3 linked regions of the Schizosaccharomyces pombe genome follow. The gene in region 2 interacts genetically with the main gene of each other region. Each region holds a gene or a part of one and is shown on either strand. Other genes may lie near its edges.

What was found.
Region 1: mutations in rmn1 (region 2) and nab2 are lethal when combined (synthetic lethality), as found in Schizosaccharomyces pombe (one study listed by BioGRID).
Region 3: mutations in rmn1 (region 2) and mex67 are lethal when combined (synthetic lethality), as found in Schizosaccharomyces pombe (one study listed by BioGRID).

Annotation. Positions count from the first base shown.
Region 1 is NC_003424.3:5,238,276-5,242,112, reverse strand, and holds nab2 (poly(A)-binding protein Nab2), read left to right. Parts: upstream 1-1,894; 5' UTR 1,895-2,295; coding exon 2,296-2,877; exon of another isoform or gene 2,878-2,920; coding exon 2,921-3,019; intron 3,020-3,065; coding exon 3,066-3,308; 3' UTR 3,309-3,787; downstream 3,788-3,837. Other genes in the region: SPOM_SPAC14C4.07 (transporter), read right to left, coding at 1-1,321; LEM domain-containing protein Man1, read left to right, coding at 3,795-3,837. UniProt on the Schizosaccharomyces pombe protein: RNA-binding protein involved in RNA processing. Acts as a regulator of mRNA stability: binds to mRNAs and pre-mRNAs, preventing their degradation.
Region 2 is NC_003423.3:487,734-491,570, forward strand, and holds the start of rmn1 (MTREC (exosome adaptor) complex RNA-binding subunit Rmn1), read left to right. Parts: upstream 1-2,122; 5' UTR 2,123-2,148; coding exon 2,149-2,178; exon of another isoform or gene 2,179-2,216; coding exon 2,217-2,254; exon of another isoform or gene 2,255-2,344; coding exon 2,345-3,837. Other genes in the region: protein phosphatase regulator Nem2, read left to right, coding at 497-1,039.
Region 3 is NC_003423.3:2,408,225-2,411,824, reverse strand, and holds the start of mex67 (nucleoporin Mex67), read left to right. Parts: upstream 1-1,703; 5' UTR 1,704-1,730; coding exon 1,731-3,521; 3' UTR 3,522-3,600. Other genes in the region: SPOM_SPBC1921.04C (uncharacterized protein), read left to right, coding at 421-774. UniProt on the Schizosaccharomyces pombe protein: Involved in the export of mRNA from the nucleus to the cytoplasm.

The sequences.
Region 1 (3,837 bases), on a different chromosome or scaffold from region 2:
AGTCGGTGGATAATATTAAGCTAGCCTTCATTGGACCCCAGCCAAATTTATAGTCCGTATAAAGCGGCAATAAGCCCATTGAACCAGCGCCGAGTAAAGTTAAAGATATCAATATTGCTGCAAGTAACACGTCCCAGTGTCTTCTTCCTGCATGGGTATCAGCATTAATATCGTACTGATGGAATTCGCATGATTCCTCTGTACATAAACTTCGAGGCCAAAGAATTATAAGTGGCTCAAGGCATGATCTCCATATCGAGGAAAATCCAGATATTTTATTCTGCTGCTCTTTACTTTCCGAAACATCTAGGCTTTCTGGAAGTATCAACCAAACGTAAAGTAAATAAATAATCCAAAAAGTTGAAGTAATATAAAATACATAATACATATGAGGAGTGTATTGCACAATGAATCCGCTTAAACTAGGTCCCAAAGCGGTTCCTAGATGGTAAGCAGCAAAATTTAATCCTAAATACCATGCACGAAACTCGGTCTTAGAACAATCTGCAACAAAGGAATTTTGGCTGGCTACAACGGTAGAAATATAACCGCCTAAGCCTTTCAAGGCAGCAGCAAAAAGAACAAAATATGGATGCTTGGGGGCATAGGACTGATATAAAAGCCATAAATCACCAAGCAGCAAAAATGAGACGGTAATGAAAAGTACAAGGCGGCGACCATAAATATCCCCCATTGTTCCATAATAAGCGGTGGAAAAAAGACCTAAAAAGGCGGCTAAAGAGCCAAAAGCGGCACGGACTTTTGAAACACCAGTAGTAATTTCCGCTAGTCGGCATATTGGGTCATCTGGGGACAACTGTGTAGGATCAAGGTTATAATGAATGGCACATAGTTCCTGTCGAAGTAAAAAGAGCAGAGGTATTTCAATCATGCCCCAAGAAAAGGCATTAATAAAGTTTAATGGAAGAATCAAAAGTGGAGATAAAGAACGTCTTCTGGCGATTTCACGACAACAGTTATCATTGTTACATATAGATTCATTATTATGATGAGAATTAGATGAATCTGGTTCATTGAAAGAGATGGGTTCATTAGAATTGGAGGTAGAGTCGTAATTTTTAGGCTTCGCCTTAAATGAGTCATGCGAGCTTGACTTTGCAACGTTATTATTGCTTGAACTGGCACCATTGGTTTCATGCTTTAATGAATGAGAATTACCGTTGCATGCAGAACCTTTAGCTTGCAAAGGACAATCAGAACAGTATTCTCTTTCTGGTGAAGGAGTTCTGGATCGAAAGGGCTTGTTCACTGACGGATCGGAAATTAGTAATGGAGTATGATCATCATCGTGTGAAGACATTTGTAGCTCCTTCTCAAAATGGTGGGTACGCTGATAAAATAGAATGTAAATTATAACCCAAATACTCTTCTACTCGAAATGTTCGCAATAATCAATTAACTCGTTGCCCTCAAACTGCAGCATCAATTGTAAAATTCCTTGCACCTATATCCTAAAAATTTTTCTATATGCAATATATACGTTTCACAACGTTTTCGATTTCGAGATAATTAGAAGACTTTAGGTAGTTGGTGCTACTAAGAAGGTTGAGAACCGAAGGAAAATATTTGCTCGAGAAAGTAATTTTGAACTACTAGTTACTATGAAGAAATAACTATATTCCAAAATGACAATGCAATGTAATTGCTTTGTAGTTGGCTAAGCCTTTAGATGTATATATATTAGACGCTTAGATTCTGGACTAGTTTAATTAATGCTGTTACGTTGTGGCGTTATAGTGTCATCGTTAGTCGTTGAATAGTTCTTATAGTGAAATTGGGTATAATATTCGAAAAAAAATTAGCAAACTCGCTATTTTATGCTATTTATTAATTCTTTCTGTTCTTACTGTGAAAGATATTTCTTATATTCCACTTACGTTTGAACTGAGGCTCTTGCTGTATTTTAACTTACGGCTTGCAGTATCAATATAACTATTGCTACTAGAAATTACCTTTAGTCTACGTATTCCATTGAAGCTCTCCGAACGCATCATCTATAGGAAGTTTATTTCTTTTGGAACGGCAAATTTGCCAACTTCTTGTCTGTGAACATATTTTTGTGATTGTATTCTTTCTTCTCAATTCCTTTATTTCATGCTAAGTTGAGCTATTTGATTTCATTTTAGAGCATATACCGGTACATAACTTATTAAATTCTGATTCCATAACAGGAGTGGAATTGATTTACTAATTCTCGGAGTACATTTATTGTAAATTTGAGCATCTCTATTATTTTGGCTTATTTTAGTTAATTATTGACTGTAAACCAACAACATGACTACATTACTGGAAACACCTGGATATAGTGAAAAACTTCATGATTCGATTGAAAAAAAACTTTCTGAATATGGGTGGGGAGAAGAGGCTGCTTCTCTGGCCGATTTTGTTCTTGTGATGCTTAGCAATGGAAAAACACAAACTGAAATTAATGAAGAACTAGTTGATTTAATAGGGTCCGATTTTGATACTAGCTTCTCACTTTGGTTATTTAATCAAATTGAAGAGCTTGAAAAATCAAAAAATGCTTCAGTTGAGTCAGTCAGCAAGATCGACGAAATCGATTTTATCGAGAAGGAGTCAACTGACAAGTCGCAGCAATCTTTCTCTGTGCCGGAAACTAGCATACAACCTCAATCTTCTCAAACTCCTAATATAACTTCGTTACGTGAAGAGAAGGAGCTACCTACTGGGCGTGTCGGACAAAAGCTCAAACTTACATCTCAGAAACAGCGATTCAATCCCATGGCAGCTTCGTTTAACTACTCGAAATCCGTTATGCCTGCTGCCAAGCGTGCTCTCACTCAAACCCAAGAGGTCCCTTTGTGCAAATATGCCGATAAGTGCTCCCGTGCTAACGTATGTATTAATATCAGATAATTTGTTAAAACTAACTCTTTAGTGTATATTTGCTCATCCGACACCAGCCGCAGCCCCAGGAGAAGGTATGGTCCTGAGCAGTGAAATGTGTGCTTCTGGTAAAGAATGCAAAGCTGCTGATGTAAGTACCATAATAATTTAAATCTAACTATTACTAACGTATACAGTGTGTCAAGGGACATCCATCTCCAGCTACGGTTACTACATTACCACCTTTCATGTCCATGTCAACCATTCCAATTCCTTGTAAATATAAACCGTGTTTGAATCCAGCTTGTCGTTTTATCCACCCGACGAAAAGCAGAAATATGACATGGCGGCCACCCTCTAAAACAGAAGAGACGTCCCTGAGTGAACGTTCGTTTGCTGTTAACGAGTCAGAAGAACAACTTCATGTTCCTTCTGTGTAAATTTAGAGAATTATGATACTATTTCGTGTTCGTATAATTGGCACATATCTACTTTTGATAGTCAAGCCAGGATACTTCGTTTAAGAACATACCTTCTAGAGTTTGCAAACTTGATATTTATTTTATTGTATAGATTGCTAAAACGATAAAGTTTTATTTGTCGCTACGTTTGCTGCAATCGGCAATTATCAAGTCGCTAAATTGATTTAAAAAATTTGTTTTCGTTATATTGATGTCTTTTTAGTGAATGAAAATTTTATTTTGATGTGAATTATGCAAATAATGATTTATTTACTTCTTCGGTTAAGTTAATATTATACATATTCAAATACCCACGTTTGTTGACATTCATTACTAAATACATCTTATGTTACTTGTTGGTTACTTGGCTTACACCATGTTGTTGACAACAATCACTTGGTATTTACATTCGCCAGTTTTACGTCTATACACATACCCTTTAGTTAAAAGGTTTTTTTTAATTGAATGGAGGTCCCTTCTTATTTTGACCCCGATTATGATCCTTCGT
Region 2 (3,837 bases):
AGTAAAAAGATGTCAGTAAAAGCTTTCTAATCCATTGGTCGGAACTTTTTAAGACTTTGATGTTTACCAAATAATGAACACAGTTAACACTCCCTCACTATATTTTGCATCGTTATACAGTATACCAACGTTTACTATCGTTTACTATAGCACATATCGAAGTAGACAGCTGCACACTATTGATATTATAGCTATCGGCGCGTAGCTTTGACATTGACTTTTAGAATCTGCCATCCGATTGATACTTGAATCAGCAAATTAGAAGGGCTGTTCTTTTATTGTTTTAGAATCATCGGCTTGTACTATTACTAATTGAATTAGTTCTTATGTTACGCACATATCTCATTCTGTGGTCTTCATAACGACTTCTTGTAATTGGTGTTGGATATTGTCCAATTATTGTTATCTCCAAAAAGCTTTCTTATATTCTGTTTTTCAAGTTCTTTATATCTTTTTATTCTTTTTCCTACGTATTGTTAAGAGTGAATAAAATGCCATGTCCTCTTATGTGCCCAACACCCTGTCCGTATATCACAACTTGTTAATTTTAGAGGCATCGTTTCGGAAAACATACCTACAGCTTCAAGTTCGTCGTCAAAAGTATATGGCTTTCTATGTCTCACTATTGGTGTGGAACTTTTACTTTGGCTATCGCGTCTTTTATCGCATCTCAAAATACTCGTTGATTGATTTGACTTACAAACTTTGTCTTTTATGCGGAATTGTTACACTTTTGCTCTTTTATTTTTCTGGATTGTATCGGACTACAATAGTATATCCATCACGTTATGTTCAACAAGTCAACAAAGCGATGAGGTTTTTTAACATTCGCCTTGTTATAACTCCTGTCCCGTGGTTCCAGGTGAGAAAGCCTTTGGATTGTGGTGTCCATCTTATATTATCAAGCAAACGATTTGACATATTGGTGATCGAAGGTTGGGAAGCTTTTCGTTCTTCATATTTTGCTTCAATACATAGAAAAAACAATAGCATACAGAGTAACGAGTCCTCTGAATCTCCTTCTTCTAAACAGAACTAGATTTACTTATACCCTTATCCTATTTATAAAGGATGCGATCGTTTATTTCCTTTTCAACGTTGTTAATGCTTTTCATGTTTATACTGTTCTAGTATTTGTCATTTTTCATAACGTAAATTTTGATTAAAATTTTCAGCTATTTTTTTTTTTGCTATCCGTTGTTGCTGGCGCCTTTCGCTATATTATTGATCAGTTATTGTCGTTATACTTTTATTACATACTTACCCGATTTGAATTTATTAGGATACTTTTAAGGACATTTCCTTTTATGTTGGGATATGAGATTGCTTTACAGACCCACTGAAATAGGATTTATCGTTGGATAATTAAAAAAAGGATGTTGATGATTCATTACACATCTTGATCATTTACTTGCCTCATCTTAATTGGAAGGGTTTAAATAAAGGCTTAATTGAAAGTTGCTGTCACTTAACTTCCTTATCTTGTTCTGTCAACTTAAACTATTATCTTTCATTCCCGACTTATAATCTTTCTTTTCTTTCTACATCACCTTTTTTTTTAAAAAATGGGTAAAAAGCGTTTTCGCATGTACATAAGCAAAACTTCTTCTCTTCTTATGTAGAGACTTCCTTTTTTTTTAATTTTCAACTTACTCATGCGGACTATACCGGACGTTCATTAGCTCTCTTGACGAGTTAGGTTTTCAAATAATTTAATATAAATGTAATCACTCCACCGTTAAAATTAACTATTTATAAGTGGTGCTAAAATATAAAAAAGTGCATATAGCTAACACGTTTACTCACTGTTGTGCTGACAATTTAATCAATGAAATAATTGGAGACAAGTGAACTCTTTCGAAACTCTCATAATCGTCAGAGTTTGACTTAAAATACATTGTATATTAGTAGTCTAAATACGAGTAATATTATGCAAACCTTCCTATTCCTTATCTAATGTCGACTACTCAGTTAAATTTTATCCCAGCCAATTGCCCTAGCTAAGACATTTGTTATTATTTTGGTATTATGTTTATTCTTTTTGAACTTTCTGGCTAATTGTTAAAGATTTTACCTTATGTGATCTATATTTTCTTACTGGCTCAACCATGCGTAACGCTCCAACAACCAGCACTTTGCTCCATCACAATGCCGTTGTTCTTAGAAGAACATGCTGAGGTAATTTTATTTTTAAGATGCCGAATTAACGCTTTTAGTATTTGAAAAGATATTTAGAACAGGCGTTGGAGCCAATGTATGTAATTTTTTTTGAGTTGCCAATTTGCGTGATTTTTTTTTTTACACGCTAAAAAATTGTTTATCAATATGCTAACGAAATGACTAGTTCTGATGCTGATGCAAGTGTTTTATCAGATTATGCTATGGCATTGTTAAGGCACGATTCTTCTGAAGAAGAAGTTCGCCAGTTATGCTACTCACAACTAGAAGATTTTTTGCGACAGGAGACAATTCCTTTTGTTGATAAAATTTTTGATGTTTTACGTGAAAAATCTTACTTGGAGGGTGCTTCAAATATGCCGTCAACCGGTATGGTGACTGAAGAAGTTTCAAGGTATTCGCCAACTTCATCAATGATCCCTGCCACCAACAGCATGGAAACCAATTTTAATAATTCTTTACCTGCTGTAGGAAAAACAAACACTTTTCCCTCTCAGGTGCCTAATATGTTTGGACCTCCGTTGTACCATCCAGCAGCCACAGCACCTTCTGAATTCATGCCCAGTATTCCTGGGTTTGGAAACTTACCAAATCCTGCAATGCCTCCCATACCATTCTTACCATTTAATCCTGCGGCGCAGCCTCCTTTCCCTCCCCCATTTAAGATGCGAGGTAAAAGAGGATTTGGCATGCGCCATGAGCATAATAGTGAACTTCGTAGGCATTCTCCTGGTAATCGAAGATTTAATCCATACAAAGCGTATCCCCAACCCCATCTGGGACATCGCTTCTCTCGTAACGCTGGCAATGATCCAACAAGTACTGCTTTAGAAGTGCGAAACATTCCGGAAGAGCATTTTAATGAGGAGAACATTAGGTCCTTTTTTTCAAAGTTCGGTGTATTGGAGAAAGTCGAATTAAATCCGACACATCATTCTTGTGTGTTAGAATTCACTTCCCATGAGGCTGCCAACAATGCTTGGTCCTCGCCTGAGCCCATATTTAACAATCGCTTTATTAAAATATTTTGGTATAATCCGTCAAAGGGATTTCACAATCGACCAAAGAAGTTTGCATCCCATAAATCTCCCACTACTTCCGATTCGTCGAATGTAGAGAGTTCTGAAGATGTCGATCCTGCTTCTTTGTTACAAAACGAAGAGTTTCATAAACTGATTGAAGAAAGGCAAAGGCAGCACGAAGAACGTTTAAAACGCATAAATGCTAATAAAAAGGCACTAGAAGAACTTAACCAAAAAAAGCGCGAGCTTGCACAGCAACAATTAAAAGAACAAGAGTTACTGATGCAAAAAATTAAGGAAACTGACCGTTCAGGAAACAAAAGACTCATGTTGTTAGAAACTCAGCATTCTCTTTTGAAGGCTGAGGCTGATTGCTTAGGGTTACCTGTGAGCAACGTTTCTGAAAGCCCAGCGGCATCTAATGGTTCTCATCATCCTTACGCTTCAGGACTTCCCCAGCGAGGTACCAACACATTTTTCCGTGGCAGAGGTCGCGGACGAGGTGATATGTTTGCGTCAATGTCCATCGATAATCGTCCAACTAAGCTTCGTGTAATAAATGTTTCTCCTGAAAAAAATGAAGCTTTGTTGCAATACTTATTCACTGTTGGAGGATATGAGGAAATTACTGAACCTT
Region 3 (3,600 bases), 1.9 Mb from region 2:
AGTGCCCCAGTGTGGGAACTTAATAGATACAACAGAGATAACGATAAGGTGAACAAATATGAAATGCATCTAAACGTTAAACGACATACAGCATGTGCATTGTTAATACCCGTGGAGAAGACAGAGCAAAGAACACTAGGATTTTTTCTTTTATCCACGGCACAATCAACTATGATATTTCACATTACAGCCATAATAGTGACAAAATAGAAATGAACGTAGCTTGTTAAACCCATTGAGTATCCTGTCCGACAAACAAGCTGTCCCTATAACACTAAAAAATGGAAGAAATTTCGATAATTCAAAATTAAGTAAACAGCAGGTTTTTAAAACCCACGAATACAACCAAAATTTACACAAGACAGACAAATACAACCAACACATAACATGAATAATATTAAAATGAATTAAAAAACATTAATGAGTCATACAAAAAATTTAAAACTTATACTACAAAGCAAAAAGCTATCTGAACTACCGACCCACAGAAAAAGTATCAATATGACTATTCCTGTAAGGGCACTAAGATGTCCAATATGGCTCTGGCCCACGTATGACGCTCAAACCATTCCATGGAAAAAGAAAAAGAAAAGTGAGCAACACGAATTGTGGGCGTCGGTATATAACCGCACGATAGGGAAACTTCAACTTAACAAACTCACGTTTATAGACCTTTGTGACTGTTTTTTAAACCCTACCCTTTTAAGTAATTTGTTTGCTGCATTTTCAGGTTATTATCCTATTGAGGTTACGATAATGTCAAGGAAAGTATAAAACAAGTGCTGTTCAAAATAAATAAATGAAAATAAAATAACACTTTTTTAATCGATTTCTGTAGAAATTTAGTCCTTTCATTTTTTAAGTTGACCCTTCATTGTTATACAACAATTAATTATTCTATACGTATATATTATATATATTGTCTACATCAATAACTGAGCAGAATTGAGCATTATACTGGATAGAAAATAAAAAAAATAAGCAGGCATTTTTTCACAAGTAAGTACATATTTTTATGATATGAATTGATAAAGGTGCAGGCGATCATATTGTTAGTTAATAATAAAAAATTGTAAATAGTAATTTTGCTTCTCCATTAAAATGAATACATAAATTTAGTAGATAATCGATTTAAACAAAAAATAGATATCCAAGCCAAAAAAAAAATAAAAAAAACCAAAAAATGTTTATTTTTTTTGGCTCATGAAACCCAGATTTATCAAAAACTTACGTTGCTTAGTGCTCAATCTCTTTAAACATGCAATAAAACAAGAATTAGCGGGACACATATATTGATATATTGCTTAAGGAATTAGTGTTCGGAAGTCTTACTGACTAAACTGTTCTTTACTTCAAAATTTACTCCTGAATTTTCATGTTAATGGAGGTCGAATTTTAGGTGGTCGATTGAGTTATATCAATAGTGATTTTACAAAAAAACAGTAAACGATTTTATATTAGCCTCATATAAATTTTTTTGAATTTCAATAAAATAAACTAAAACAAAAAATGTATTTCCACAAATTCCATCGATACAAGCATAGCAAAAGACGAATAACGCATTTAACAGTTTCTCGTTATATCACAAATAGTCTAACTGTTTAACGCAGTTTTGCGCGTACACATCTCTACTCCTTATACTTGTCCTATTACTATTGAAGTTAAAAATGTTGAATTAAATTCCACTTACTCTCTTTCTCTTCACACTTACTACTCAACATAATTGCAAAATGTTGCGTAGAAAGCGGGAGCGTCGTAATGCTGTTAAAGAGAATGAAATGGTAATTGATACACCATTGGAGAAACGCCGTACACCAGGCAAACCTCGTGCCACGCGTGAACCCCCGATATCCGTAGTTATTACTGGTCATTCCAAGGGTTCTGAGGACGACTTAATAAGCTTTGTTTGGAGAAAAGTCAAGGTTCGTCTAATGAACATTTCATATTCTCCGGCTTCGGTCACTGCCGTAGTTAAAAGCCAAGACTTTAGTCGTTTGAACGGGTTAAATGGTGCGGCTTTTGCTGGTGATCATTTGGCTATACGAAGGGTCGATGGAGCTTCTAACGTTACTCAAGATTATAGAAAAGCAAAGACAAAACGATCATTTCGTTCTGTTTCAGCTCCTTCATTATCTGCATTAGCAACACAAGCCCAGAGAAATGTTTCAAAAACGTTACCACAATCCACAAATGAGACCATTGAAAAGTTACGCCAGTTTTTGCAAACCCGTTATCAACCTGCTACTAAATTCTTGGACCTCGGAAATTTGCAACAAGATCCTCTTTTAAAGCAAATGGGGATTTTAGCAGAGGCTTCTACTAAGAGTAAGATGTTTCCAGCGTTAATGAAGGTTGCTTCTTTAAACTTTCCAGACGTTATATCAGTTAGTTTGTCGGATAACAACTTACAATCGGTGACTGCCGTAACCACTTTAGCACAAACATGGCCTAAACTTTTAAACCTTAGTCTTGCTAATAACCGGATTACTTCTTTATCTGACTTGGATCCATGGTCCCCCAAAACAAAGCTTCCCGAACTCCAAGAGCTTGTTCTTGTCGGAAACCCGATTGTCACAACCTTTGCTAATCGTGCTATGGATTATCAACGGGAAATGGTTTCGCGTTTTCCGAAGCTTCGTCTTTTAGATGGTAACAGCATAAATTCAGAGATTATCGCCTCTCAATCTACCGTCCCTTTTCCGGTTTATCAATCTTTCTTTGATAAGGTTGAAACCGAACAAATAGTCAATTCTTTTTTGGCTGCGTTCTTTAAAGGTTGGGATGAGAATAGAAGTGCACTTGTCAATCAATTATACAGTCCAAATGCTACCTTCTCAATCTCTCTGAACGCTTCAAACGTTAGAACGAACTTTTCTCAGAAAACAGACACTAAAAAATGGGGAGCTTACAAAATGAAAAGCAGAAATCTACTTTACTCACAATCACAGAAGGAGTCGAAATCTCGTTTATTTAACGGGCACGAAGAAATAAGCAACGCTGTAAAATCCTTACCTGCTACGGCTCACGATTTATCAGACCGTTCGCAATGGGTTTTTGATGGTTGGAACCTGGTTCTGCCTTCGGTTGGTGCAGCCATCAAAATTGTTGTCCATGGGCAATTTGAGGAACCACAAAACAAACGACTTCTACGAAGTTTTGATCGAACTTTGCTGATTTTGCCGGGAGGTTCCACAGGCATATTGATTATAAATGATTTATTAGTCATTCGTTCATTTGCTGGATCGCTCGGGTGGCTACCTGGTCAAAGCAGTGTACGAACAAGCAATAATGCCATGTCTGCGTCTGCTTCAAAGCCTAGTGATATTGTACAGCCAAGACCGGAACAAGCAATGTTAGACACTAGACAACAAATTGTATTAAAAATTAAGGCGGAGACAGGTTTAAATGATTACTATGCTCACATGTGTTGTGAGCAAAATAATTGGGATTACAACAGCGCTCTAGCATCTTTTTTGGAATTAAAGTCGCGAAATGTTATACCAGCCGAAGCATTTTCATGAACTTCTAGTGACGTGTATAGATAGATATGGTTAAAAAATTACAAACTGGGGAAATGGAAACTTTTATTTAATAATGGTA